Linked DNA regions of Canis lupus familiaris. The protein of the gene in region 4 binds, or shares a complex with, the protein of the main gene of each other region. Links are inferred from orthologs where the notes say so. Each region holds a gene or a part of one and is shown on either strand. Other genes may lie near its edges. The genes, in order: PPP4R1, PPP4C, PPP4R4 and PPP4R3B.

What was found.
Region 1: PPP4R3B (region 4) and PPP4R1 share a complex: the UniProt entries of both Homo sapiens proteins name them as parts of the PP4 complex. The link is inferred for Canis lupus familiaris from reciprocal best matches to the Homo sapiens genes PPP4R3B and PPP4R1.
Region 2: PPP4R3B (region 4) and PPP4C share a complex: the UniProt entries of both Homo sapiens proteins name them as parts of the PP4 complex. The link is inferred for Canis lupus familiaris from reciprocal best matches to the Homo sapiens genes PPP4R3B and PPP4C.
Region 3: PPP4R3B (region 4) and PPP4R4 share a complex: the UniProt entries of both Homo sapiens proteins name them as parts of the PP4 complex. The link is inferred for Canis lupus familiaris from reciprocal best matches to the Homo sapiens genes PPP4R3B and PPP4R4.

The regions. Positions count from the first base shown.
Region 1 is NC_049228.1:75,606,477-75,613,727, reverse strand, and holds the end of PPP4R1 (serine/threonine-protein phosphatase 4 regulatory subunit 1), read left to right. Parts: intron 1-1,746; coding exon 1,747-1,867; intron 1,868-1,964; coding exon 1,965-2,099; intron 2,100-2,594; coding exon 2,595-2,736; intron 2,737-3,839; coding exon 3,840-4,003; 3' UTR 4,004-4,991; downstream 4,992-7,251. UniProt on the Homo sapiens protein: Regulatory subunit of serine/threonine-protein phosphatase 4. May play a role in regulation of cell division in renal glomeruli. The PPP4C-PPP4R1 PP4 complex may play a role in dephosphorylation and regulation of HDAC3.
Region 2 is NC_049227.1:18,251,685-18,258,829, forward strand, and holds the end of PPP4C (serine/threonine-protein phosphatase 4 catalytic subunit), read left to right. Parts: intron 1-3,709; coding exon 3,710-3,761; intron 3,762-4,339; coding exon 4,340-4,390; intron 4,391-4,565; coding exon 4,566-4,667; intron 4,668-5,175; coding exon 5,176-5,349; intron 5,350-5,447; coding exon 5,448-5,574; intron 5,575-6,366; coding exon 6,367-6,556; intron 6,557-6,635; coding exon 6,636-6,765; 3' UTR 6,766-7,091; downstream 7,092-7,145. UniProt on the Homo sapiens protein: Protein phosphatase that is involved in many processes such as microtubule organization at centrosomes, maturation of spliceosomal snRNPs, apoptosis, DNA repair, tumor necrosis factor (TNF)-alpha signaling, activation of c-Jun N-terminal kinase MAPK8, regulation of histone acetylation, DNA damage checkpoint signaling, NF-kappa-B activation and cell migration.
Region 3 is NC_049229.1:63,602,533-63,610,506, reverse strand, and holds part of PPP4R4 (serine/threonine-protein phosphatase 4 regulatory subunit 4), read right to left. Parts: intron 3,958-7,974; coding exon 3,852-3,957; intron 2,776-3,851; coding exon 2,628-2,775; intron 1-2,627. UniProt on the Homo sapiens protein: Putative regulatory subunit of serine/threonine-protein phosphatase 4.
Region 4 is NC_049231.1:57,720,830-57,728,803, forward strand, and holds part of PPP4R3B (serine/threonine-protein phosphatase 4 regulatory subunit 3B), read right to left. Parts: intron 3,401-7,974; coding exon 2,777-3,400; intron 1-2,776. UniProt on the Homo sapiens protein: Regulatory subunit of serine/threonine-protein phosphatase 4 (PP4). May regulate the activity of PPP4C at centrosomal microtubule organizing centers.

The DNA.
Region 1 (7,251 bases), on a different chromosome or scaffold from region 4:
GGAGAGGCCGTCTGATCGCGAGCAGGCCGGGTTTGGCTCTGTGGTCGCCAGGATTGCCTGGAGCGCCCAGCGCGCCTGGCTTCCTCTCCCCGGGCCTGCCGGGGCCCCTTGCTGGCAGCGGGAGCTGGTCAGCTGTCCCCCGGCAGCTGGTGGCTCTCGTGCACCCCTGCAGAGCCGGCGGGTGTCCCCCCTCCCTCGGCTGCGGCTGCAGACCACTGCGCGGATGTGGGAGGCTTGTGCTGGAAACGGGGGAAGCTGTCGTGGGCTCAGCCCCAGGCGCTGAGGCGCCGCGTGTGCCTGGCTCCGTCAGGTTCCCCCTCCCCATGGCACGCAGCCTCTGCCTTGTGTCTGTGGCCAGTGCTGGGCAGAGGCCGCTGCCGTCCTCAGCAGGAGGAGACCTCGCTTGTCACCGGGTAGGGCCTTAGCCCAAGAAGCCGTGCCGCGCCGCGCTCTGGGGTAGAGTTCGTTCTCCTCTGCCCCCGGCTGCAGTGTGTCTGCCTGTGCCCGTGGGTGGACGGGCTCTGCTGCCCCTCTGTCAGCACCTTAAGGCTCAGGCTTGGTAAAGAGAGGACCCCGGGGCGGTGCATGGGACTTTACCCCTGTACCTCAACATGTGTCACTCATTTCCTGCCTGCTGAGGGGCCTCTCTCCAGTTTGCTTTCCTGACCCCAGACTTTCTCCTGAGGTATGCACCCAGGGCAAGCCAGCAAGAACATTTGCAGAGTCAGAAAATGGAGTCGAGGGATGCCTGGGTGATTCAGCAGTTGAGCATCTGCTTTTGGCCCAGGGCGTGATCCTGGAGACCCGGGATCGAGTCCCACATGGGGCTCCCTGCATGGGGTCTGCTTCTTCCTCTGCCTGTGTCTCTGCCTCTCTCTCTCTCTCTCTCTCTCTCTCTCTGTGATGAATAAATAAAATCTTCAAAAAGAGAGAGAAAGAAAGAAAAAAAGAAAATGGAGTCAATCATTGTGCCTCTCATTTCTGAGTATTTATGTGTGTGTGTGTGTGTGTGTGTGTATACACACACACACACACACACATACATACAGGTACCTTGGTCATTGCTACATTATGTATATTCATGCCTCTAGTTACTCCCTGCTGATAACGAATGTAAATAGTCTTAAACATGAAATCTGAAAGGCAAAATCTCACTGGTATTGGAGGTATTTTTTCCCGGGCATTGTTGCATCTACTCAAAGTAGCCAGGCGGATACGGTCAGTCTTCAGGTCTACCCAGATGTGATAGAAACAGTCACTAGAGGACCTCTCTGCTTCTCTTATCTCTAATAGGGGTGTCATTCCCTTAGGAGCTGCTCAGAGCTTGGACACACACACCTCAGGCTACCTAATACTACTTACTAGAACTTCTTATTTAGGAAACTGATTTGTAGAAGGAAGTTTCTCAGCATTCTGAACAGTTACATATGTCCATGTCCCAACTGAACATACTAGGAAGTGCTTTGCTCTGTCTCAGTCCCTGTGGACTTAGAATTCCACATTTGTTTTCCTTACATTTTGAGGGGAGGAGATACTTGAACTTGCATAGTGTTTAAAAACATTTCTAGAGACATACAGACTGGTGATGACTCTGTGCATGAGAGACCACATTGCTCACTAGTCTTTGCATGTGTTCATCTTACAAATAGTATCCAGTATTACAAATTATTCAGATGATTAACTTATTTTCATTTATTTATTTTAAAATTTTAATTATATTTTTATTTTTATAATTCATTTTTGTAGACAGCTGATTTTACTTCTAGAATTATATAGTCCCAGAGATGTTTATGACTATTTACGTCCCATTGCTCTGAATCTATGTGCAGATAAAGTTTCTTCTGTTCGTTGGATTTCCTACAAGTTGGTATGTGTTACAATTTTTTCAATTTTAGAACAGCACACTGTTTAATAAGATCCTGGAACAGAAAGTCTTCCTCATGTCTCTGCGCTCCCCCTCCTAGGTTAGTGAGATGGTGAAGAAGCTGCACATGGCAACGCCCCCCACGTTTGGAGTTGACCTCATCAATGAGCTCGTAGAAAACTTTGGTAGATGTCCCAAGTGGTCTGGCCGGCAAGCCTTTGTTTTTGTCTGCCAGGTAAGTGAAGACTTATGCGTGCGTGACACATTTTTCTATCTAAAACTATGTTTCTTCTTTCACTGTGCTTCCCAACACTCTCTTTCTGATCCTTAAGGAACACTTTTGCCATCTGGCTCTCCAGGGGATCACCTGTTCCCCAGTTGGTGTCTGCCTGGCTCATCCCACAGCCATCCACTAGGGGGCGCTCGGGGTCCATGGCATAGCCTGTGGCGTGTGTGTGTGTGTGTGTGTGTGTGTGTGTGTGTGTGTGTGTGTGTAAATGAGCATGACTGCACACTCCGGGACTCAGGAGAGCCATTAAAAACCTATTTGTCTGTGAGGACTTAAAATTATGTCCTCTTAGTTTGGGGTTCCCAAGCGCGTGGAATGATAGTTTAAAAAGAAGTAGCTGAAATCTGTAGTGCTTGGGCTGTTAACAAAAGAGAATGTTAGCCAGTATTCCAGGGTTTGGCGATTACCTTGGCAGATTAAAGGAACTGTTTGTCCTCCTAGACTGTCATCGAGGACGATTGCCTTCCCATGGACCAGTTCGCTCTGCATCTGATGCCGCATCTGCTAACCTTGGCAAATGATCGGGTTCCGAACGTTCGAGTGCTGCTTGCAAAGACGTTAAGACAAACTCTCCTGGAGAAAGGTGGGTAGGTGACTGTTAGGAAAACCGTGTGCTGCGGGGAGGAGGTACACGGACTGCACGGATGGAGACGTAGCTGAGCGGAAGCACTATATGTTCCTACGTGTTATCTGATGGGAGAAGACTTGAGTTGTCAAGTGGGGGCTCCCCCTGAGAGAGGGCACAGATTAGATGACAGGGACTTGTTCGCCTTCCTGCTCCAGGGGCATTTCTTCTATAATCAAGACAGTCATCATGAAGACTGCTAACTCTGGGAAACGAACTAAGGGTGGTAGAAGGGGAGGAGGGCGGGGGGTGGGAGTGAATGGGTGACGGGCACTGGGTGTTATTCTGTATGTTAGTAAATTGAACACCAATAAAAAATAAATAAATAAATAAATAAATAAAAAAAATCAAGACAGTCATTTGAAAGATTAGGTATTCTCTTAAGACAGGATGAGAAACTGCCGTCAGTCTGTCCCACGTGACCTGTGTTACTGTTGCTCAGGGCCAGGAGGCATGTTTGTGTTTCCTCCTCTTCACTCCTTAGGCAGAAGACAGATGCTTCCTGGTATTTGCTTTGCTGCCACATACTAATAAGCTGCTCAAGATTCAGCTGTGTTTTATTTATTGTCGGCGCCCCCCCCCCATATCTAACAAATAGCATTTAAATGCATGAACTCGTGAATGAAGCATAGAAACGTTTGTTAATAGGCTTCTAAGAATATGGGTAAATGAATACTGCTTTTCCCTCCTTTAGAATTCATTTAAATTGTTTTAATAGCAGTAAGGAAATAGCTAAAGAAAACTGGTTCTCAACCTGTGTGATTGGTACTTGGGGTGTTTGTACTGAATTAATACCTATCACAAGTATAAGTGTTAATATATTTATTAGCTTTGCTGCCATTTAGTCTGTTCTAAAAACAAGATAAATCATACAATTCTCTTAGGCTTGGGGATATTTTTCATATCACACCAATCAACTTGGATTACTATTTGTAATTCGACATAGCTTGTGTTTATACTTGGAGAAATTATGTTTATGACTAAGAACTTAGTATACTCATACTTGATAAAACTGAAATGTTAAACTCATTTTATTTGTAATCTGCATTTTGCATCTCCAGAATATTTCCTAACCTCTGCCAGCTGTCATCAGGAAGCCGTAGAACAGACCATCATGGCTCTTCAGATGGATCGTGACAGTGACGTCAAGTATTTTGCAAGCATCCACCCTGCCAGTACCAAAATCTCTGATGATGCCATGAGCACAGCTTCCTCAACCTACTAGAAGGCCGGAACCTCATCCTTCCGCTTCATAGGGAGCCAAGGGCTGACAAGTGCTCCACACATGCGATCTGGGCCAGCCTTGGGGAGGAGGAGAGACCTTCCTCGCTTGCAGATTAATTGCAGGTGCAAGTTGCCTACATTGATACCAGGGATTTTAAGAGTCAAGAGAAAGTACAGTAAACACTATTATCTTATCTTGACTTTAAGGGAAAATAATTTCTCAGAGGATTATAATTGTCACCGAAGCCTTAAATCCTTCCGTCTTCCTGACTGAATGAAACTTGAATTGGCAGAGCATTTTCCGTATGGAAGGGAGGAGATTCCCAGAGACCTGCATTGCTTTCTCCTGGTTTTATTTAATGCCAGATAGATGGAGTGGCAGCCAGAAGGTGGCTGCGAGCCAGGATGTGACCGAGACCTTCAGTATTAGCCCGCACTGTCCCCACGCAGGCAAGGACCTGTTGGTTCCGTGGCCAGCCGCCCAGCCCGGCCCTAAGTGTGAATAGTTGCCGACGTGTGTAAATGCGAAAGGAGATTGGGGGGTGGGTTTCTCCTAAGGGCTTGATGCTAACACTAAAGTAGAATCTGATTTTAACTCTTAAATGCAGCATATTGCTGTGCACATTTACAGAATGTTGGCTGAGTATCTATGTCCCGATTTTCTTCATGCTGGTCATGACCCGAAGGAGTGGATTGGCGCGTGCTGTATGTCAGGTGTTTTTAACTTGATCATGATCGGCTCTGAGGTGCAGCTTTACTTCCCACGTGTACATACCTGTGACCACTCTTGGGAGTGCTGCAGTCTAATCATGCTGTCTAAACTTGTGGCACAAGTTCTCTTGTCCGAATAAAATTTATTAATAAGATTATATAGAGAGATATATACACTTCTGATTGTTTTCTAGATGTCTGCAAATAAATGCAATTTGTGACCTGTATTAATGATTTAGTATGAAGTGGGAAAACTAGATTAAAATATTTGTCTTTTACCTAGTTTAGTAATTTGTTTGCCATCTGCATGTGCCACTTGGGGCCAGGTTCTGTTCCCAGCAGACAGTGGGGTGTCCGGAGTTCAGCCCAAGGCCCCGGACACATAGTCCTGCAGCTCTGAGTCCCCACGGCCTCTGCACAGTGGGAACGGGAAGCCATGCCCCATCTGTGGCCGAGCGGCCTTGCACAAGCTGGGACTGGGACGCTGCAGACTGCTGCATGGAGGTGGCGGTCGCTCTTCTGAGCCCAGCTTGAAGGACCCTTGGCCTGAGTCCCTGGGGTGCACCTGTGAGCTTTGCTTTCCATGACTCAGCCGGCAGGGTCCCCTCGAGCCTCGGGGTGCGGATTGGGGAACACGTAGGCCGTGTTGTGTACAGACTATCGCGACTATCGCAGGTGAGACCTGTGTCTCTGCCTCTTGCATTACAACCCTGCGAGCGGAAGTGTGAGCCAGTTGCCCTGGGATGGAGGAAGCGGGGGTGCACGGCGGTCTATGGAGGGGGTCGGGGGGGTTGGTGGGGCCTGGCCCAGAAGGGGGGCACAGATGGGAGGAGGGCGCAGCCCCAGAATTTCAGTTGTGTAAATGACGTGACCGTCCCACACGAAGCTGCGTTTTTTTTTTTTTTTTAAGGTTTTATTTGTTTATTCATGAGAGAGAGACAGAGAGAGGCAGAGACACAGGCAGAGGGAGAAGCAGGCTCCATGCAGGGAGCCTGATGTGGGACCTGATCCCGGAACCCTGGGATCAGGCCCTGGGCCGAAGGCGGTGCTCCACCCGAGCCCCCCTGGGCGTCCCGGTGCTGCGTGTTCTCGTAAGCGACAGCAGTAATAGTATATTCGGGATAAAGGACTTGAATTTAGGGCAAGCGTACAAAGGCAGCACAGGCCCCTTCCCCGCTGGCCCGGCCTCTCCGCGACCTCGCTGCTGCTCGGCGCTGCCCTTGGAGCCCTCCCGCGTGGTCGCGTCTGAAGAACCGCGGGCCGGGCCGCAGGAGGTGGGGGCTCCGCTCCACACTCAGCGCCATGTGGGCCGAGCCGGGCTGCTCCTGCCTCGGGGCGGGAGCGCCAGGGCTTCTAAGGGAGAGAAGTGGGCTTCCGGAGGCAGCACAGGACCCAGCAAAGGAGGAAAACTGACCGTCCCAGCAGATCTTTGAAACCCTCCAGGAGGTAGAAACTGCAAACCAGCTCAAACTAATTTCATAATCAGAAGAGGAATCAGGTGGTGAGTATGTCCTCATAGGGTTAATGCGGGGCGGCTAATCTTAGGAGATATTCTCTTCCAATCCATGAGCATGGAATATTTTTCCATCTCTTTGTGTCTTCCTCAAGTTCTTTCAAGAGTGTTCTGTAGTTTTTAGGGTATAGATCCTTTGCCTCTTTGGTTAGGTTTATTCCTAGGTATCTTATGCTTTTGGGTGCAATTGTAAATGGGATTGACTCCTTAATTTCTCTTTCTTCAGTCTCATTGTTAGTGTATAGAAATGCCACTGACTTCTGGGCATTGATTTTGTATCCTGCCACGCTACCAAATTGCTGTATGAGTTCTAGCAATCTTGGGGTGGAGGCTTTTGGGTTTTCTATGTAGAGTATCATGTCATCTGCAAAGAGGGAGAGTTTGACTTCTTCTTTGCCAATTCGAATGCCTTTAATGTCTTCTTGTTGTCTGATTGCTGAGGCTAGGACTTCCAGTACTATGTTGAATAGCAGTGGTGAGAGTGGACATCCCTGTCTTGTTCCTGATCTTAGGGGAAAGGCTCCCAGTGCTTCCCCATTGAGAATGATATTTGCTGTGGGCTTTTCGTAGATGGCTTTTAAGATGTTGAGGAATGTTCCCTCTATCCCTACACTCTGAAGAGTTTTGATCAGGAATGGATGCTGTATTTTGTCAAATGCTTTCTCTGCATCTATTGAGAGGATCATATGGTTCTTGTTTTTCCTCTTGCTGATATGATGAATCACATTGATTGTTTTACGAGTGTTGAACCAGCCTTGTGTCCCGGGGATAAATCGCACTTGGTCGTGGTGAATAATCCTCTTAATGTACTGTTGGATCCTATTGGCTAGTATCTTGTTGAGAATTGTTGCATCCATGTTCATCAGGGATATTGGTCTATAATTCTTCTTTTTGGTGGGGTGTTTGGTTTTGGAATTAAGGTGATGCTGGCTTCATAGAACGAGTTTGGAAGTACTCCATCTCTTTCTATCTTTCTGATCGTGAGTCTTAAGTGATGTCAACAAAGGTGAGGAGGAAAACGGTAT
Region 2 (7,145 bases), on a different chromosome or scaffold from region 4:
AGAATTATAAAAAGTCCTAAGGAGGCTCAAGGAGACAGTCCTACTTGTCGGGGGAACAGAGTTTCTGGGAGGAACCGAACTTTGGGGATAGGCCTTGAAAATTAAGATGATAAAAGGGAGCGTTGACAAAAACAGAAGTTCAAGGCAGTTCAAGGCTAAAGGCTCTATGGTTTGTAGACTTCTTATTAATCCCAAGAACAACCCCTAAAGGTGGGTGGTATTGTCCCCATTTTGCAGCCGAGGACTCTTCTATTCAGAGTCAGCCAGCAAGTAAGGGATGGAGTCCGAAGCCAGTGCTCCATATCCTGTCTCTTTTCAGGCCTTAACGCAAGATGGTGGAATTGGATCTCCTCATGTTCAGTGTGAAATAGTAGCAAATAAGTCAGAATGAAATTAAACCTGACATGAAGGGAGGCCTGTGGGAAGTAGGGTCATGTAGTGGTTAACAGCTCAGGCTTTGGAATGTGATGGTTCTGGGTGGGAATGTGAGCGTTGCCACTTACTGGCCCTGTTGGTGATCTTGAGGTCTCTGGCAGTTTCTTTATTTGTAAAGTGGGAATAATAGTATTTAAGAAGATGATGGTGAAGAGGCAGTAAGTTGGTGCCTCGGACTAGCTTAGCATAGTGCTGTGGTACAATGTAAGTGTTCAGCAGTCTTTAGGTGTTACGTTACTACCGTGTAGGAAGGGGGCATTGCCAGTAAGGACCGAAGTCACCAGGGAAGGCTTCTAGGAGAAGGTGGTCTTGGAAGATGAAAATAATTTGGGTAGCTAATGGAAGCAGAGCCAGGGACCAAGGATATTCCCAGGAGGATGAGAGCAGGAGTGGAAGCTCTGGGATGTATGGGCACCAGTGAGGAGACCACTTACCGGCCTCCCCTGAGGTACTGTTTGTGGCTTGTACCACGCTGGAGATTGTGGGGAAAGAGCCAGCACAATGACCCTACATTCCTTGAACAACAGGCGTTGTACTGGCAAGGAACTTCTCTCTTTTCCGTACAGGAGTCTTGTGAGATGGAAGCTGTTTGCTCCCTTTAACATGACTCCTTAGGGACCTAGTGACTTGACTGAGGTCACCCAGAAAGAAAGTAGCAGAGCTAGGTCCCGGCCTTGTGGCTCTAGGCCTCTTGCCTGGCTTTACCTCAGACAGACCCATAGTGGCCAGACTGGGCCTGTTTGGGAAACAGGCAAGGCCTCTTAAATGCTTGTCTGCGACTCTTTTGTGTTCTGGCAGTGAAAGAAAGTTTTCCTGACTGGACCAGCCCCAAGGTGTTTTTAGTCACCGCTGTTCCCTCAGTCTTGACAGCATTTTTAGGAACTTAAACCAACTGTTGCTTGGCACTGTTCTTTTTCCTGTAAGACTCATCTTGCCCAGAGGGCCTGAATTCATTTGGTGGTGATGATAGCTAGTGCTCGCATAGCATGGTGGGGTTTTCAGAATGACACACAGGTTATGTATCCAGTCTCACCTGCTCTTGGCAGCAGCCCTATAGAGCGGGCAGGTTGGAGAGAGTGTTTCACAGAAGAGGAAACTGAGCCTCAGAAGACATAATGCCTTGCCTGTAGCCCCATAGCTGGTAGGAAGAGAGGTTCACTTTGTTTGGATCCAGGTCTTTTACTATACTGCCTGTAAACTGATAGCCAACCAGTCAGCAAGGCAGTGGGGAGCTATAGAGGATTGAGGGGTCGGGGAGTCTTGCCCAGCTGAAACTGAGAAGAGCTTGGGAGGTACTGGGCTGAGACCTAAGTTGGCCAGTATTATCCAGGGTCTGTTCTGAAGGGAGAACAACTTGTGCACCTGGCCGTGGCCTCCTGGAGACCCACAAGGGGCCGAGGCCCAGGCCAGTAGCATCTTGGAACCTCAGCTTGCCCCCAGGGTACATAGATGTAAATTCTTGGAACTAGAGAGGCCTGAAGTATGTGAACCAAACTTGGTCGTCTTTGAAATACCAGTGTAGGGGTGCCTGGCCGACTCAGTCGGTAGAGCATGCAACTTCTGATCTCGGGGTTGTGAGTTTGAGCCCTACATCGGGTGTAGAAATTACTTTAAAAAATACTTACATAGGGGAAGCCCCAGTGGCGCAGCGGTTTAGCGCCACCTGCAGCCCAGGGCGTGATCCAGAAGACCCTGGATCGAGTCCCACGTCAGGCTCTCTGTATGATGCCTGCTTCTCCCTCTGCCTGTGTCTCTGCCTCTCTCTCTGTCTCTATGAATAAATAAATAAATAAAATCTTTAAAAAAATACATATATAATGTATATCACTATGGTAAAAGAGCAGAGGGTTTGAATTGGGTGGTCTTCATCGTGAATCCCAGCTTTGTCCCCTAAAAATGGTGTGACCCTGGTCAAGTCACTGTACCTCTCCAAGTCTTTGAAGTCATTATGGAGCTCAGATGAGATTCTACATATGTAGGGACAGGGACTGGCATTTGTTGTGGAAGTAAAGGTGGGTAAGTGTGAGCTCTGAGAGGGCGGGTGATGTGCTGTGAGTGACAGAGCTGGGGTCGGAGGCTGGTTCTCTTTCCCCCACCTCGCCGGGTCCTGCCCCTTTTTTCTCTGAGCTTCAGTTTCTGTGTCAGATGAGGATGAGAAGAACCCCCCTGAGTCATTTGAAAATGTCTTCACAAGCAGTTGATGTGGAAGGATGCTGGACCCATGATGTAGTCCAGCGGCGGGGAGGGCTTGGTGGCCAGTTGGCCTCCCAGACCCCTGCCGGGACGCCCTCCCATTCCCAGAAAGCCAAGCAACCACACTTCCCTCAAGCTGCTTTTGTCTGAGAGAGTGCCCTCAGGGACATAGGTAAAATCACGGGTTCTCTGAGCTCAGGGAGCTCCTAGTCTCCTAGGAGGAGGCTGGCGGAAAAAGGTAGGCAGGTGCCTGGGGCCCTCCAAAACCAGAGCAGCTTGATAAAAGTGCCAGATCCTGGAGCCAGGCTGCTTGGTTCAAGTCCCACCTGTAGGACTGTAGCCAGTTTATTCATCCGAACAGTGGGTGTCATCACGATGCCTGCTTTGGGGATGGTTCTTTGATTGTGTCGTCGATGCAGAGCTCTTACTGCAGTCCTGCGGCATATCAGCTAGAGTGGTCACTGCTGCTGTCATCAAGGTAGAAATCTGGAAGTGTGGCTCCTCTCCAGTTGACTGTAACTGACAAAGTGATTTTATGTCATGTGCTGGCAAGTAGTAGTAGACTCCACTGCAGGGAGAAATGAAAGAACAACGTTGTCACTCCCTTTAAGTAAGGAAAAACACAGCACATCACTTTGATGGTGTGTCTGATGACTGGGTACCTTGGGATGGTCTGTGCAAGGCCTCTGATGAGCAGAGAGAGACCGTAAGCTAAGTGGAGGACACAGTCTCAGAGTACTCGAGGCTGAGGAAGCAGCGTGAGCAGAGGTCTCTGTGCGGAGAGGAGGTCTGTTTTCTGAATGAGCACCGGTTGTGTGAAAGAGGGCAGCAGGGAGGGTTAGGACTCAGAAGGCTGCTGCCTCCTTGGAAAAACTTTGAATGCAGTTAAGAGTTTGGGCTCTGGCCAATTGGCCTCTGGGAGGCCTGGCCAGGCCTGGTCAACCCACCCTGGGGATATTGCACACCTCACTCCTGCCCCCTAGAGGTTACCTCATATCCTCCCCTGGAAAAGATCAGGAATTGGGCTGGCCTGGCCTGGCCTGGCCTGGCCGTGGTGACCCTGGTCTTCTCCTGTCTCCAGAGAGATCTTGGTAGAGGAGAGCAACGTACAGAGGGTGGACTCGCCAGTCACAGTGAGTACCTGTCCTTCCGGAGCCTAGCTTCGTCTTAGGCACACGGGCATACCCCCTAATCTTACGGGCTGCAGAGGGCTACCCCCATCCCTGAGAGCCCAGGGGCCCTGTGTATCTGCTCCTTCTCCCATCTTTAAGGGAGCCTTGCTATATGAAACAGATGTTATGGGAATGGTCTTTTAATATGTTGGGGGGATACTCTTGGCCAGGGCAGAAGGCTTCTTACTATGGTGAGTGATTCTACTCCAAATGTTCCTGTGTATTCTGTTATTAGCAGCTTTATTCTAGGTTCTTTGAGGGGAACAGGGAGAGGAGCGGGCTAGGTCCTCCAGAAGCTACAGGTCTAACTGGAAAGACCTGGCTCTAGCTCTTGCCCACAGTAGTTGGCACTCTGTGTGGGATGGGTTGTGATTCCAAACCAGGCAGAGTCGGGGTAGGAGAGGAGATTTTGGCCCTAAGAAGTAAAGATTTGGCCAGGAGTGATAAGGAGCTGCTAAACAGTGGGTGTTTTGAAGGTTAGTCCCTGGGAGCAGAGCTTTCAGACTGTGAGTTGCGACCCACCTCTCCTCACTTTGCAGGTATGCGGTGACATCCACGGACAATTCTATGACCTCAAGGAGCTGTTCAGAGTAAGTGTGGGGAGACTCTGGGACCCAAAGGTGACCTGGGGCATGAATTGAGAGTGGAACCTTTAATTTGGTGAGTGGAGTATAGGTGAGAAGCCTCTAGTTTGGTGGCTTTCTGAAAGAAGGGCTGCCATAGCGGGGGACATTTTGGGGACCAAGCAGATTCTTCTCCCCCCAGGTGGGTGGCGACGTCCCAGAGACCAACTACCTCTTCATGGGAGACTTTGTGGATCGTGGTTTCTACAGCGTCGAAACGTTCCTCCTGCTGCTGGCACTGAAGGTGGGGACCTGGGCCACCTCAGGCCTGACCTGTCTGCTTCCTTTCTGCCCCCATCTCTTGACCTGTGCTGCTAGTGCCCAGCTTGCCAGGGAGCAGACAGGGCAGCTTCCCCTGCCCTGGGGGCATCTGACGGGGCCCCTGGAGCAGGAGTTGGAGCAGCAGCATTGAAGGGGAGGGAATAGAGGCGCCCTGTGCTCAGAAAGTGGGGGGTGGGGCATGGAGTTCTCCCGGGTCTGGCATCCATGGGTGGGCAGGATGACAAGGCACCTGAGGGTCTTGTTCAGGACTTGGTGGTGAAAGCGGAGCTGGGTCTATAGTTGGGACAGAGAGAGATCAGCCTCAGATCCCCTGGAGGAGGGGCTGGGGCCTCCGAGGTGGATGCGGCGCCATGCAGAGGCAGGCACGGGATGATGTGATGCTGGGACAGGGCTGACACATGTGAGGGGTCTGAGAGGGACATGGGAGGTGACAGGGGAGAAGCAGAGCCTAGACCCCAGCCCGCCTCCAGGTTCGCTATCCTGACCGCATCACCCTGATCCGGGGCAACCACGAGAGCCGCCAGATCACCCAGGTCTATGGCTTCTATGACGAGTGTCTGCGTAAATACGGCTCGGTGACTGTGTGGCGCTACTGCACAGAGATCTTTGACTACCTCAGCCTGTCGGCCATCATCGATGGCAAGGTAGGCTGGCCTCTGGGCCCTGCAGGGACGGGGAAGGGTGGGGAGGCGAGGAACCGCTGGGCTCAGCTCACCTTCGCTCCTTTCTGGTCTCTGTGTAGATCTTTTGTGTGCACGGGGGTCTCTCCCCCTCCATCCAGACCCTGGACCAGATCCGGACCATTGACCGAAAGCAAGAGGTGCCCCATGACGGGCCCATGTGTGACCTGCTCTGGTCTGACCCTGAAGGTGAGGGTAGTAGGGCGGGCCGGCTCTCCCCTTAGTTTGGCAGGAGACTGAAGGGGTCCTTTGGTTAAAGGGACAGTTAAAGTGTTGAAGGGGTCTAGCGAGGTGGGCTTGGGGAAGAGCAGAACAGGTTGGTTTCCATGGGCCCTGTCCATGAAGAGGAGGAGCGGGGGCAGCTGGTGTTTTGAGCTCTGAGGGGTCAGGCATGTAGATCGTTGTTCGGAGGCTTGTTTGGGACAGAAACATCCGTGCCCTGAATGTGAAGGGGCTTCTGCAGAGGGTAGATGCCCAGAATGCTGGCCCTGTGAGGATTGTCCCTGATTTTGTGGGACTTCCCAGCTAAAATAGAGCAGAGGCTGGATTGAAAGCCAAGTCTCCCGAATACCAAGCTCCTTCTGTGATGACACAGCCTCCACTCTCTCACTGCCCTGCCCAGCTTCCTGGCCACTCCTCCCAGGGCGGCCAGGGCAGGCCTCATTCACACCTGCTTGACCTGTGTGGTCATAATGGGCGCTTCCTTTCACTTTTGGGTACGCCTGTTTGGCCAGTGAATCACATGGCCACTCTGATTATGGGGTAGCTCCAATGGTCAGAAAATTCTTTCTCCTTGGAGCTTATCTGCTCCAGCAATTGCGGTTGACTCTGGGATCCCCCAGAATACACTCAGGCCCTGTGCTCTTGCCCCATGGGCCTCATTGGGAGAAGGGGATGGAATGTTCTTTTTCAAAGGGCAATGGGCACCAGAGAAGCCTGGAGGACACCCTCTCCCCCCATCCCTACCTTCTTTTGCTTCAGACACAACAGGCTGGGGTGTGAGCCCCCGCGGGGCTGGCTACCTGTTTGGCAGTGACGTGGTGGCCCAGTTCAATGCAGCCAACGACATTGACATGATCTGCCGCGCCCATCAACTGGTGATGGAAGGTTACAAGTGGCACTTCAATGAGACTGTGCTCACTGTGTGGTCTGCACCCAACTATTGCTACCGGTGAGCAGCCCGGGCCACGAGGTGGGGGTGGGAGGCAGGCTGACCCACCCGTCTAACACGGCTGCCCTCCTACTTCCAGCTGTGGGAATGTGGCAGCCATCTTGGAGCTGGATGAGCATCTCCAGAAAGATTTCATCATCTTCGAGGCTGCTCCCCAAGAGACCCGGGGCATCCCCTCCAAGAAGCCCGTGGCCGATTATTTCCTGTGATCCCTCCAACCCCTGCAACCTCCAGCCCCTCTGGCCCTCGGACCACTGTGACTCTGCCCTCTTCTCCAGACAGAGGCTGGGCATCGGGGGTGGGGGGGCTGTCTCGGCTCTGCTCTCCCCCCAAAGAGGGCACTTCGAGGGTGAGGACTTTCTCTGGAGAGGCTTGGAGCCTCAGCTCCATGCTCCTCTCCTTTCTCCCCACTTGAACCATGGAGTTTCCAATAATTTTTTGGTTTTCTTTTTTCTTTTTCTTTTTTTTTGTTTGTTTTTAGATAAAAATTTTGAGAGAAAAAAAGAAAAATTCTAATAAAAGGAGAAAAATGGTATTTGGGTGTGTGTCAGACTTGATTGGGAATGAGCAGCAATGCCGGCCTGGCCCT
Region 3 (7,974 bases), on a different chromosome or scaffold from region 4:
ATGGAGAATTTTGCACCGAGGAATGAAGGGATCCGACTTAACATGCAGGAAGGACCATCTGACTACTGAGTCTAAGAGAGAGGAGACTGTAGGTGTTTGGGGATGGAAGGGAAACGATAGGGAAGCTCTGGCAGTAATTCAGGCAGTAGATGGTGGCCGCCTGAATTACAGTGCTAGCAGTCAGGTGGGGAGAAGCAGTTGGACTCAGTATATTTTGCAAGCAGCAGGATGTGCTGAGGGACTGCAGTGGGTTGGCAGAAAAGAGGTTAAGGTTTTGACCTGAGTGGGTGCTAAGGTGCGATGGTCATTTGCTCAGAGGGAGAACACTGCAGAAGGAGCAAGGGTGTGTGCAGGTGCAGGAGATGAGGATTTACTTTGGGACAGACTGAGTCTGAGGCACCTGTTGGACATGCCATGGAAATGCTAGGTGGGCAGCTAGCTCAACGTGGCTCCCGTCCAGGAGGGATATCCATATAGTCAGGAATCTTTAGCACACAGATGATATGCAAGTCATGAGACTGGACAGATCACCAAGGCTGTAGGTACAGTTCAAGAAAAGATAAAAGGACAGAGTCTAGGTGCCATCCCAGTCTATACCACATGGATAAGGAAGCAACACGCAGGCTGAAGAATGCCAAAGAGGAGAGAAGCAATCCAGGGAAGTACAGAAAGCTTCCTAGGAAGAAGCAGTACAAAAAAAATTCTCTGCTTTGCTAAGCTACTACCCTACCACTCTGCCAGGGCTGGCTTTAAAGAGGGATGCTAGGTGGTTGCCTATGTTTTAGCTGCTGTATCAATTCATTCATCTTAGTGCTCTCCAAATACTATTTTTTTTACTCCTTATGCCAATTTGAGACAACCAAGTTCCACTCCCAGAGTTTCCAGGACACTTTGTCAGCTAAGCTCACAGTTGAGGAATCTTCATATAAAAAAAAAAAAAAAAAAAAAAATTGGCTTTTTATTCAAGCAAAAAGGCTAAACAGGCTCTTCCTCCAGAATTTTCAGCTCTGTTCATAGCAATAATGGTCTTAAACTCACTCAGAGCTCACCACGGATCCTGGTGATGCTTTCTTTAAATTAAGAGGCCCGAGTTGCCCCAAAGAGAATTTTTTGCATTTCTGGCAAAGGGGAAGGTTCCTTTGGAATACCAATGGTCTTTCCAGGCTTCATATTGTCTATAATCAATGAATTCAAATTTTAAACATTCACTTAAGGAAAAACAGAAACAACAGACTATTATGCATACTTCATTCTTCATAACTCAAAGTAGGTCTAGAAAACATATATTCAACAGAAGGTACAGAAGAAGAAGCCACAGCGGTGAGTTATCTCTGTGAGATTCCTGGACCCGTGAGATTATAAAGATTTTAAGATTAGATATCACATCTTTCTGGTAAGCTAACTTTGTTATATACATTATCTCAGGTATTTATTCCTCAGAACACCCTATGAATTGGGTAATTAAGGAAATTAGTGCACGGAGAGATTATGTAACTTGCCCAAAGACCACAGCTAGTATATAGCTGGAAATCAGGCCAGGTGGTATAGCTCCAGAAACCCTCCTACTAAGTGCATGATCCCACCACTCTTGCCTGTGATGGCTTTCATTCTAAATAACATCTCTACAGAGTTGGGCAAATGCTTTGTATCCAAAAGCCAATTAGCATACTGTGTTGCTGAATCCATTTGTTTGGCTGGCAGCTGCCCAGGTAGAAGACTGAAACTTGGGTGGCTCAAAGGTTGAGTGTCTGCCTTTGGCTCAGGTCGTGATCCCAGAGTCCTAGGATTGAGTCCCACATTAGGCTTCCCGAGGGGAGCCTGCTTCTCCCTCTGCCTGTGTCTCTGCCTCTCTCTCTGTGTCTCTCATGAATAAATAAAATCTTAAAAAAAAAAAAAGAAGAAAACTGAAACCAAGACAAATTGCTATGCAATGATCTCTTACCCTCCAAAAATAACCAATATTTATGGAGCAATGTTCAATTAATCTTCATTTGGTTTTTGAATTGTCAGGTTGCTATCTCTTAGGGTCAATGCTATGCATTTAGTCATATTGACCAGAGTAGAGATGATTTCATTTCCTTTCAAATAATCTTTGTCAATTGCTTGATAAATGATAATTCATCACACCGGGAGCTGATTTTCTAGAGTCACAACTTCAATTTGCAAAATATTAACAACATAGATGTAAAAATACTGAAGCCAATGCAGTAGCATTTTCTGTATTTTCTTACACTAAAAATACGAAACAAAATCCAATCCTGATTGCCTCTAAAAATGGACAGAACTTGGCCAAGCCAACTTTAAGTTATTTTCTTTAGTCTCAGAAAATCCATAAATTAAGAATATCTATCTACTCAACCTTCTCCTGACACCAATGTTATGTATTTATCCAAGTGGCAGGAGAAGCCTGCCAGTCTGGCTTTGACTACTACTCTCTTAACCCAATAAATCAAAGACATGAGGCACTGTTTAAAAAGATTATGCCTCCAAGTCCTATTGAGGCTCATGAATTAAGACTACCAGGAATTTCAAAGTGTAAGTACATTATAGTAGATCAGAAGATGAATTATAGTAGATAAAGTTAAATGTACAATATTTTCAAGTATTTCTTTGGATTAGTAGCATACCTTACATTTGCCACCGGATCATGTGTCAGTTCAATAGCAGGTAGAAAGAAATATTTACAGAAAAATGATTTGGAAAAGATCTCTATAATAAATTCACAGGTATCCAAAAATCGAAGTCTATTCCAATAACTTTTTCCTTGGCCCAGTTCTAGAAACAACAACAAAAAAGATAAGTTTAATCTTTCCTGCATGAAATTATATGTGACAAATACAAATCAAAACCACAATGAGATACCACCTCACACCAGTGAGAATGGGGAAAATTAACAAGGCAGGAGACCACAAATGTTGGAGAGGATGCGGAGAAAAGGGAACCCTCTTACACTGTCGGTGGGAATGTGAACTGGTGCAGCCACTCTGGGAAACGGTGTGGAGGTTCCTCAAAGAGTTAAAAATAGACCTGCCCTACGACCCAGCAATTGCACTGCTAGGGATTTACCCCAAAGATACAGATGCAATGAAATACCGGGACACCTGCACCCCGATGTTTATAGCAGCAATGTCCACAATAGCCAAACTGTGGAAGGACCCTCGGTGTCCATCGACAGAGGAATGGATAAAGAAGTTGAGGTCTATGTATACAATGGAATATTCCTCAGCCATTAGAAATGACAAATACCCACCATTTGCTTCGACATGGATGGAACTGGAGGGTATTATGCTGAGTGAAATAAGTCAATCGGAGAAGGACAAACATTATATGGTCTCATTCATTTGGGGAATATAAAAAATAGTGAAAGGGAATAAAGGGGAAGGAGAGAAAACAAGTGGGAAATATTAGGGAGGGAGACAGAACATGAGAGACTCCTCTGGGAAATGAACTAGGGGTGGTGGAAGGGGAGGAGGGCGGGGGGGTGGGGGTGACTGGGTGACAGGCACTGAGGGGGGCACTTGACGGGATGAGCACTAGGTGTTATTCTATCTGTTGGCAAATTGAAAACCAATAAAAAATAAATTAAAAAAAATATATATATACATTATTTTAATTTCTCAAGTGTAGAAACTCACTAAAGAAGGCCCAGAGTAAATATTTCTCCCATTCAATCACAGACCGATCCTGTCATTTAAATTTCTAAAGCAAAAAAAAATAAATAACCTACAAAACTCAAATACACACTCTAGATATTTATCAACATCACGGAAAAATGATACATAATGTCGGCCCAAGATAACTAAGGCCAGTTTACTTTCTGCTTTTCCAAATAAAAGGCAATGATTACTTACGTTCAATTAACTTCTGAATGACCTCATGTCTCTGTTCTTGTTTACGATTATAACGTAGAAAAATGCATAGAGTTCGTGAAGCTGCCTTTTGGACAGGTAAGACATTCTTAAAGAAACAGGTAGGAAAGACAATTAGACTAATCTTATAGCATAGTTTTGCTCCACAGATCAATTTTCAGTTTTGGCTAAAAGTAAGAGCAATTTTGTCTGCCTCTCAAATCACCTAGGAAGTGTCTTCCTAATTCAGTGTGAATATCACTCAGGCAGATCAACTAATGCATCACATTACAAAGTTAATTTAGTTTGGCACAGTCATTTCCAAATCATCCAGATCTGATTTTTAGTTGACTCTCCTTTCTCTGCCACTTCATCGTTAAGTGGCATTCTCCCCAAAAACATCTCAGCCATCCATTCTCTTAGCCATTCCCTGGACCTTGTCATTCATTTATTCAACAAATATTGCAAGAACATGCCCTGCCTTAGACCTAATCACCAAAAATGTGCCACTTCTAAATTGAAATCTAGAAATCATATGATCAAGTGTACCCTTCAATCCTTCCGCTTGCTTCTGCCTCTTCGACCATTCATCGAGATCCCTGGCCTATATCACAGATAAAATTTAGAATCCAAGGGACACCATGTCAGTGACTCTGACTAGTGTTCTATAATCCTTTGTCTTCTGACTTTCCATCTTATCACTGGGCAGAATTTGTCAACTGTAAATGAATTCAATTATCTATCTTTACTGGGTTCAAATTATATATTAGAAAAAAAATCTCTCAACCAGTAAAAAATTCGTATTTACCACCTTGGCTTACATATAAATACCATCATATTTAATATTCAAAGATTCAGAGTATTATAGTGGGGATCCTTGAAATTCAAGTAGAATAAAACTTACTACACTGCGGGGAGTAGCCTACTACCTCCTCTCATGTTTTATACAAGCTCTTTTTCTCTAGAGTACTATTCTGTGTGGTATTTTTGATGTGTTAAACGTAAAAGGAGGGATCCCTGGGTGGCGCAGCGGTTTGGCGCCTGCCTTTGGTCCAGGGCGTGATCCTGGAGACCCGGGATCGAATCCCACATCGGGCTCCCGGTGCATGGAGTCTGCTTCTCCCTCTGCCTGTGTCTCTGCCTCTCTCTCTTTCTCTCTGTGTGACTATCATAAAAAAAAAAAAAAAAAACCATCTGATCACCTTGAGCCACAAATATATAAATAAAGTTCCTCCTTATTCAATTTAAAAAAAAAAAAAAAAAAAAAAAAACGTAAAAGGAGAGTATTCCCTATGAATTAGAACAGAAAATTTAAGAAAGGTACATAAAGAGAAGCATCACTGGCATTTTAAAAATGAATTTTAGATAAATGAACTGAATAAAAACATGTTACTCTCTTCTTCAATTTGTGTATACTAATAGAATTTCAAACACATCAATACTAGTCACATGAAAAAAATTTTTTTTTTTTACCTCACAGTATAACATAAGCTATCTTTTGGGCCAGAAATCAAAGATGAAGGTAATCGTATCAAAAACATGTCAGGCCCTGCCTGAGTAAATTGTGACAATCTGAGTACACAAACAATGACTGCATTTGATTAAAACAATATCTAATATTAGAGAATAAGCCTGAAAGGGAGACAAAACCAAAACAAAACTCAGTTGTCACCACTGGGAGTGGTTACTGCACCAGCTCCTAACTCTAAAAACTGACAGCAGGAGGAAAAAACTAAGGATTACATGAGGAAATATATTTCAGTGTAATCAAATTACCCAAATGGATAAAGAAGAATATCTCTTCATGGAAGAATGTCATGAAAAATGTAGAAGTGATAGAATTTTTAAAAATCACTCTCCTGCAAGTTCTAATGAAAACAGATTCAGGAAGGATCACCAGTGGTTGCCTAATGAGTGTTAAGGTTGATGGAAAAATGGTGTTCAGAGTGTTCCAACCATCAGCTTCAGGGTACAGTGTACCTTGCAAGAGAAAACATAATTTTGCACCAGACTGATAAAGCTGTCCCCACCTGGACAAACACTCTGAGCTCACTGACAGAGAAACACATGTCTGGATAGGATGCAATATAAAATGTAAATTGGTGTCCAAGAAGTATTCTCACCAAAAATGTGTAACCTAAAATTCAGTGAGCTTTAGGTTAATTTTCTATTAGATCTAATTTCCCATTTACAAGAAATATTGAGAATAGGTGAACCATGAAGCAGCACTCTGACAGAATATTCTACAGGACAACAAAGTCTCTTCCACAATTCAATGTCATGAAAAAGTGGCAAAAGGGAGAAGTGGGAGCCTGTTCTGAATTAAAAGACAATTAAGAGTTGTAACAGCCAAAGGCAATGTAGATCCTATATGGATATGCATTGGATCCTATATGGAATAAAACAATTATAAAATATACTTAGGGGGCCAATGTGGACTGCAGAGATATGAAACAACATTGAAGAATAATTGTCTGCTTTGTAAAATGCAATGGCTATATTGTGATTATATAGGAGGATGTCCTTTGTTAGAGACGAACACTGAAATGTTCAGAGATAAAATATAATGATACTTAGAATTTAAAATTCCTCAGCACAATGAAACAGAAAAAGTGGATATGGCAAAATGTTAATAACTATTCAGTCTAGCTGAGTTCTACATGGGGGTTCATCATTTTCTCTGCCTTTCTGTATCTTTACAAAAGTAGAAAAAGTAGAAAAAAAATCATTACTCAAAACCTTCCAAAGATTTTCCATGTTTCAGAGCATACAAGCTTGATTCCATGTCAAGGCCCTGAAAGTGCACTGTGCTGCGGGCCCCACCACCCCCTGCCTCATCTCTCTGCCACTCACCACACCAGCTTCCTTGCTCCTCACGCAACCACACTATTCCCTTTGCCCAGGCCACCTGTCCTTCAGACATCCACACGGTAACTCCTTTATTTGGTTCAAACCTCTGCATGAAGTGTACTTGATCAGAGAGGACTCCTTCCTGACCACTCTCTCTCCACAAGAGCATCCTACTACCCACTGTCACGTTCCTCATTCTCTACCCTGCTTTACTGTTCTTCACTGTTGTTCTTCCCTGACATACTATCTACATATGTTGGCTTACTGTCTGTCTCCAGTGAAATTTCAGATTCCAGGATAATATTTCCTTTGTCTCTTTTAGGTACCCTAGATATAGTGCTTGGCACATAGTAAGCACTCAATAAATTTTGCTGAATGAATGCATGAGTCTTCTAGCCATTAAGTATGGAATGGAAAATATAAATCTTTCTTTTCTCCAGAGAATATTGAAGCAGAATAAAGTATCCTCTTTGATCATGGAAAACATGCTATAATAACCATGTATCTCCTTTTAAGTGTGGAATCACTGTCTTGTAAAAGAAGGTAAAACAAATCTCTTAGACTTGCAAGTACTTTGTTCATACTCTATGTTGTAAATCATTTCTTTCTTGATAAGTGAAGTTAAAAATATGGCATAATTATGTCTTCTTAGCTTTGTAAGTACAGCAGTACTAAATCATCAGGCTGAGATAAACAATTAAGATCAAACTTCATAGCACTTACTAGCAGCTGTTAATATATTCCCTGACCCTGTTTTATTATCTATCCTGCCACCACCCCTTCAGAACACAAGCTCTGTTAAGAGCAGGAGTCTGTCTTATTCACTCCTATATCCCTAAGTCCTTAAACAGTCCCTGACACATAGAAGACATTCAAATAGGTCATTTCTGAGTAAAATAATCCATCAATTCTGCTCAATTTTATGTGAAATTTCCTATGTGGTACACTCATGCACTGTCCTCCAATAAGGGAGTCATTGTTGTCAAAATCATTTCTTAAGACTGTTATACCTATAATGTAAGCCTATATAATGTAACCTTAGTCCTCTAGGCTTTGATGAATGAAATTAACTTGTAGAAGTGTTAGCTCATGAAATGTAGGCCTATTTTTTTTTTTTTACTTAAGTTGTAAATGACACCAATAATGTTATTTTTTTTATTTCTTTTTCATCTTTGAAGCAAAAGCTGATTTTGGGTTTCTGAGATGTCTATTAGATTTCATTACCTCCCTCTTATTTAGAACAATGAGAATATAAAGTGATTTTTAACAGCTTCTA
Region 4 (7,974 bases):
TTAGATAAATTTAGTTTTGCTTTTTCATTTAGTTTTAAAATCCTTTATTTTTAATAAAACAATTATTTTAAGACAAATTGTGTATGGCTGCTTCTCTGAATTACGCAAAAAACCTTATGGGGGGAAAAGGGGACTACTTTTAAAAAGTCTGAGTCAAACTTTTCCTTGTAGTAATGTAAAAACAGGACACATTCAAAATCCAAAAACCCAGGGGTGCCTGGCTTGCTCAGTCAGTAGAGCATGCAACTCTTGATCTTAGAGTGGAGTTTGAGACCATGTCCGATGCAGAGTTGACTTTAAAAACAACAACAAAAACCATCCCAAACCCAGAACCCATTCACCATTATTAGAGTCATGTAAATGCAGAAATTTAGAATTAGACTAGGCTTTAAAAGATTACATACATTGCCTAGTCCAATTCTAAATTTCAAGAGACTAATGCCCAAAGAGTGGACTTTCCTGAGGCTGGCTAGTAACAAAGATGGATTTAGAATCTAGGTTTCCTACACAATCAGGTTTTTGTCACTCCTACCATGTATAATAAACCACAGGACAAATTTCTAAGTAGTTTAAAGTTATGAACCCAAAGTAAAACATAGACACAAACTAGAATAGGCCAAATCTAGTAAAATTTAATATGTTAAATCCTAGATGAAGTCCAAAAACCTCTAAAACAAAATGAAGCATTATATTATTGTAAACAGTTGTTTTCTTAAAGGCATTGGAATATTTAATATATTAATAACTGGGATAAAGGTTAGAAATGTCTTTCTTTAGGGCTGAAATCCACAAAATAAGTCAAAAAAGAACTAAACTTCTGATTTTAATGGGTTTTTAGCTCAACTCTCATTTATGGAATAGTGGAAATATATGTTATATGTTAAATTTGAGATACCTGTCCTCTACCATTTCTAGTGAAGGAAGTGAAATTTTGTTCTGAAAAAGATCTTATCTGTAGCTGTCTATGCAAAATAACTCACTTTATTGGCTTTTAGAAAATTAATTTTTAAAACATACTTAGATTTCTTAATTCTGGGCACATGGGATTTTGATTTGTAGTTAGAAAGTTCAGGGTTGGGACGCCTCGGTGGCTCAGTGGTTGAGTGCCTCCCTTCAGCCCAGGGTGTGATCCTGGAGTCTCGGGATAGAGTCCCACATCAGGCTCCCTGTATGGAGCCTGCTTCTCCCTCTGCCTCTGCCTCTGCCTCTCTCTCTCTCTCTCTGGGTCTCTCATTAATAAATAAATAAAATCTTAAAAAAAAAAAAAGTTCAGATTAACCAAACTCTTATGCCCCAAACAAACTTAAGAGAATCTCAACGTATATTAAGAGTACATACCAGGAGCCAGAGACCATAGTAAGTGCTTTCTTTTAATTTCTCAATTAACCTGATTCAGGCTAGGAGTTATGTACCTTTGACTAACTCATTTTGGTCCAGATAGAATTCTTACATTTTTGCTTGCTTATGTAACTCCTACAACAGCAGGTTAATACTCACTTAAGAAGCTACAGATATCAGGCCATCATAAAATGAATCACATAGCTAAACACTAAGAAAAAGATTCTCAACTTTTTGGTCTCAGGCCCCCTTTGAACTCTTAAAAATTATGGAGGACTCCAAAGAGCTTTTATTATGTGGATTATGTTTATCAATATTTATAATAAAAACAAACATTTTAAAACATTAATTTGTTTTAAAACTAAGCTATTATAAATCTATGTAAATATTTTATGAGAAAATTTTATAAATTTAGAAAAAAATTATAAATTCAGAAAAAACGGCTTTTACATTTTTGCAAATCTCTATAATGTTTGACTTAATAGAAGAAAGCTATATTCCATTATCTTCTTATAGTCCAATCTGTTGTGATACCTTGTTCTGGTTGAAGTATATGAAGGATATATGGCCTCACAGTGACAAGAAGCTGGAAAAGGAAAAACTTCACAGATCTCTCTGAAAACGGTTTCAGAAACCCTGAGAACCACTATATGATGTATACAGAGGCTGCTCAAAAAACTTAATGAGTGATATGGACATAACAAAGGCAGTTATATAGGCAGTTACAGATATATATAGTTATATATAGGCGGTTATAGTAAATAAAAATCTTCAAAATCATCTTTACTACACTGTTAGGGTATAAAGGATTAACACAATAAACACAGTATGAACTTCTATTTTACAACTCAAGGAGACAGAATAAAACCAACTTCACACAGTAAATAATCTAATTATCATTTCCTGAAAATTAATGACTGTTTCTCAGTCCTGGCTGCATATCTCAATTATTTGGGAAGCTTTAAGCACACACACACATACTTATATATACCTCCAATGATAATTAGGGCTCATAAAATGAACTAAAAGATAGTCTTAAAACAGGTGCTTTTGTTCAGGATGATGAAAAAGTTCTGGAAATGGATAGTGGTGATGGCTGCATAACACTGTGAATGCACTTAATGTTATGAATTATATACTTAAAATGGTTAAAATGATCAATTTTGTATCATATATATAATTTTTTAATGCATGTAAAAATGAAGTTAAAAAAAAAAAAGCTCCATCAGAGAACACTTAAAAATGTAAAAGTTTGCATTAAGAAAGGATTCTCCTTCAAATACCCATGAGATAAAGTCCTGTTTTCTGTGCTTGACAGTATATTTAAGATAAACAAAAGAAATCTTCCAAAAAGGAATGAACACCAGCATAAACTATTATAGGAGATAAATAACTGAAAAAAAAAAAAAAAAAAAAAAGAACACCTTTGTTCACTTACCTGCAACATGCTGACTATCTCCACTTTGTTGAAGAAAATAAAAGACGTTAGAGTGGAAAGAAAATTCTCTTCAAAAACAGATGGCGTAGGCAAAATGATGTCCTGAATGTACTGTACCCTGTAAGTCTGATGTATTTTTTGCCTTAGTTCAGAGTCTGTTATTGGTATAACTTCCTTAAACTTTGCAGTTTTGGTCAAAAATTCTCTATGCCTTTTTGGCTGAGCCAAAGCAGGGTCATATTCAAGGCATCCCACAACATCCATGATACACTCATCAGAAAACATTACTTCAAACAAAGTTGCCTTATTTAGGAATAATATTCCTCTAATAATTTCATACAAATGGTGTAAGCCTTCAGTGTTTTCTAGATTCTCACAAGCTTGGAACAGCTGCAGTAGTTTTTTAATATAGCCTTCATTTTCCAAGGCCAGAGCCAGCTTTTCCCTACGGATAGGTGAGGAGAGAACTGAGGTAACTAAGTCAGCAATCTCTTCAAGTTTATTGAGTTCACATGTGGGTAGGTCAATCAGATGACTGGTTTCAGGTATTTCTTCAAATCGTTCTTCTTCTGATTCATCAATGAGGTCCTGTGTGACTTCCACAGATGGATCCTTACCTTGAACCTAAAAACATCCAAGTATAGCTGGTTACCTTAAAATACAAAAGAATTCAAAGTTTTGGAAATCAAATCACTGACCACTGAATTTAAGTAAAAATATATCTTGCAAAGAAACAATACTAGCCACACAGTCCATTGTTAATTAGAAGTGAAGTCTAGAGGGAGATAACACATCCAGTTTAAATTATTGGCGTCTCAATTTCACCTCTAAATTTCACAACTTAAAACTTGAAGTTAACTCTGATTCTTGACAACCTGAACATTTAAACTGTTACATTGATTTATGTGATGTTATATAGAAACTACATAGTTGTTTAGTAACTTCAGTATTCCTAATTTTGAATTTTGCAGTTTAACTCTTCTGTGGGTCCCCCAAATCACTCTGTATGACTCTTAATGCACCATCAGATTAAACCAAGAAAAAAACTACTAATTTTTAATATATATATGTATTTATTTTTACACACACACACACTTTTTTATGAGAGAGGGAGAGAGAGAAGGAATTTTTTTTTTAAGATTTATTTATTTATTCATGAGGGACAGAGAGATAGAGAGACATAGGCAAAAGGAGAAGCAGGCTCCATGCAGGAAGCCCGATATGGGACCCAATCCCGGGACTCCAGGATCATGTGCTGGACCGAAGGCAGACGACGCTCAATCAGTCCTGAGAGAGAAGGAATCTTAAGCAGGCTCCATACCCAGCAAGGAGCTCCATGCAGAGCTTAATCTCACAAACCTGAGATTATGACCTGAGCTGAAATCAAGAGTCAGATGCCTACCCAACTGAGCCGCCCAAGCACCCCAAACACTCTTAAGTTTAAATGAAACTGAAACCCAACTCCTTGCATATTCAAGAGGGAGGAGATTTCCTTAAATTACTTTTGAAATTCACTTTGGGAAAAATACTTACTTTTGTTATGAGCCTAAAACTGCTCTAAAAAAACAAAGAATATTCTTTTAAAAATTGGCTTTCATTTAACATCTGTGATAAAGCCTCCAAGTTACAATACATAGAAAACATAATAAATACAAAACTGTTTTATGATTCATGTTGACAGCTCAAGAAAAGCATGGCTAACTTATGACAAGTTTTCTATAATGATTTCTATAATGATTGTTTAATATAAAAACTTTATAATTTTTTTTTCTAATTCCCAACACGAGAGTGTAATTATCCTCTTTTCCCCTCAAAACTTCCAATATCCTGAGGTAAAAAAGCTCCACATAATTCCAAATCCACCAAAACAACACGTGAAAAAAGTCCTAAGAGCTTAGAGAAAGTAAAGAGATACACTAGTGCATATAAGATACTTTTCCTCCTACAGCATGAGAGTACTTCTTTTACTTCTGAGTCCTCAACAGAGTAGCTGAGTTTAGGGAGACAGACAAACAGAGAAAGGACAAGTAACAGAGCAGTTCAGATAAAACACCATGGACTTGATGGGATGAGCACTGGGTGTTAGACTATATGTTGTCAAACTGAACTCAATAAAAAAAAAAAAAAAAAAGAAAGAAGAAAAAATACTCAAATTCTAAAAAAAAAAAAAAGAGAGAGAGAGAGAGAGAGAAAATACCATGGAAATTCAGAGGAAGGGACATTCCTCCCAGCTCTTCAGGAATACAGGAGTGAGACTGTAAGGAAGAAATTATGAAAAAAAAAAAAAAAAAGCAGTGGCATTTGGACTTTCAAAGATGGGTAAGATTCAGATGGGGATAAAAGTCTGCAAAGGGAATAGTAGAGGCAGACAGATGGAAATGTGTGACATGCATATGGCAAACAGCAAAACTGGAAATGTAGATTAAAGCCAGATTATGGAAAGTCAAGCTAGAACACTTGAGTTCAGGGAAGTGAATGTGCAGCATTATCCTTTATAAAGTCAACCTGGCATCAGATGTATGGAATAAATTTGAGAATATAGATAAATTAAGGTGTTATTCCAAAGTGTATATGAACAACTGAATTTGGATAGTGATGGTGGGGTAGATAAGGGACAGGTAGAAAAGAGAGGAGGGGGATCCCTGGGTGGCGCAGCGGTTTAGCGCCTGCCTTTGGCCCAGGGCGTGATCCTGGAGACCTGGGATCGACTCCCACGTCGGGCTCCCGGTGCATGGAGCCTGCTTCTCCCTCTGCCTGTGTCTCTGCCTCTCTCTCTCTCTGTGTGACTATCATAAATAAATAAAAAATTTAAAAGAAAAAAGGAAAGAGAGGAGGAACCATGAATTATCCTACAGTTTTAAATATGTCATTAGGAAGATTATGGCTCCTTTAATAAAAACTGGTACATTCCAGAGAGGAATGGTTAGTACAAGCTCAGTTTTATTAAGTTTGAGGTGTCTGAATACCCAGCTTGCAATTAAATCTGTAGACCTACTACTCAGGAAAGAGAATAGGACAGAAAGTAAGAGGACAGAAATTAGGTATTAGGATTAACACTTAAAGACAGAGGAGTCTGATAGTAACCAGAGAAACAGGAGTAGTGTATGACGTGGGGAAGGAAGAGGAAGGAGAATCATAGGTTATAAAGAAAGAAGAAGAAATCAGAGGAGGGGTGCCTGGCAGGCTCAGTCTGTGGAGCATGTAACTCTTAGGGTTGTGAGTTCAAGCCCCAGGTTGCATAGAGATTACTTAAAAATAAAATATTTAACTTACACTCTAAATGAATATAGTTTGCACATGTCTCAGAATAAAAGCACAGCTATAGAAGCATTCACTGGTGATGTTTATTTCTGTGTTATCCAGTATAACCCTTACAAGCTTCCTGGACTCTCCTAAATTTAACTCTCACTGATATGATCTGTCAATCCCACATAAACCCAAGTGACTATCTGGATGTCAACAGTGCTGTTCATCAAGTATTTCGGGTTCTCTTCCTTTTGCGGCGCGACTTTTGTGCCCACAAAGTTATTCGTAGCTCTATGATTTGTTTTGGCCAATGAAATGTGAGCAAAACTGCCATATGTAACCTCTGGGAAAAACTTTTAAAAGCCAATGCGCCAATTGCCATCTTTCTTTCTCACATTGCAATGATTTTGGAAATACTAAAATAAATTCTCTATCAACTGGGTCCCTGAGTGGCTCTGATAAGCACAGCCCCTTCCTGTCCAATTGTACTCCTCACTGGTCATATAGCATTAAGGAAAAACAAATTTTTGTTGTGATAAGCCACTGAGGTTTTAGGATTTTGTTACTGTAACACAATCTAACCTTAACATCCTTAAAGTCAGTCAACTAACTATGCTGAGCACGTTCACAAAAAATTTATACTGTCAGTAGGGTTCTCAACAATAATTTCTTTTCCACACTCCTAGCTTACTTCTTTACAGCTTTTGTTTTGATTCTTCCCCCTTTTTAAGTATCAAACACTATTACTTTCTCCTTTAAATCTCAGGAAAGAGAATCTTTCCTTTGAAAGAAAGAGACCACTAGTATTCAACATACTCCAACATCCTTCTCCATCTCACAACTTATTTTCACTCATTTCCTTAATCTCTTTCAAAGAAAATATCCTTACCCTCTCATTTTCTGAGGTTAAAACTTCCATATGTACTTTTGACTTCATGCTTTTTAAAAGCTATATATACAGAAATCAGCTCTAACTTCTTCCTCTCCAATTGTTCTTTCTGCTCTATTATTTACCATTCCCCTTAAAAAATGTATTATTCTCTGGGCTGTCAAATTTTTCAGAGGGGTTCTACTTTCTCATTATAAGGAGTTAAGAAGTAACCGAGTAATATTTTTGTTGAAATTAAAACTTTTTTTAAAGGTCAGCAATGACTTCTCAGAAACTTAAAGTAAAACATAATGTATGGTTCTGTGGAATATCAGTTGTGAGGAGCTATAAACTAAATGTGTGTTTAGCGACATGCACAGATTAAAAAAATATAATATATAGGGCACTTGGGGGGCTCAGTTGGTTAAGCATTTGCCTTCGGCTCAGGTCATTATCCCTGGGTCCTAGGATTGAGCCCCATTTCAGGTTCCCTGCTAAGCAGGGAGTCTGCTTCTCCCTCTTCCTCTGCCCACCACCCACCCCTACCATTCATGTATAATCTCTCTCTGAAATAAATAAATAAATGTTTTTTAAAAATACAGTACTCAGTTGTTTAGTAAAAATTAAACTTCCTGGACCAGGAGAGTGGCCAAATCTAACACCCTTTCCAAAGGTGGAAAAGTGTGAGTAAAAATCAGTGACAAATGGGAAGAAATAGTAACAAAGGGCAAAGGAATGAATAAATGGGTACAACAAGAGAAATCCAATATTAACAATAGTGCCTCAAGAAAGGATCAGAGCAAGAGATGTATTCTCTTAGCTGAACTGTATTAGACACCTGGAAAGATAAAAGCCTTATGTTTTCCAAGATCACCTATTCTTGGGACTTGACAAGGTTGAATGGAGGCCTGTAAATAAACCAGATGAGTTACAACACTTCTGGAAGATGTAAATTTTATCATACAATATAATGATGAACTGAAACAATTGTTAATGATGAAGTTAATGATTCTAGTAATGTGCCAGACTGACTTCAGGTTACGTTCACTACCATACTGCAATATAGTATAATACTAGCATTATT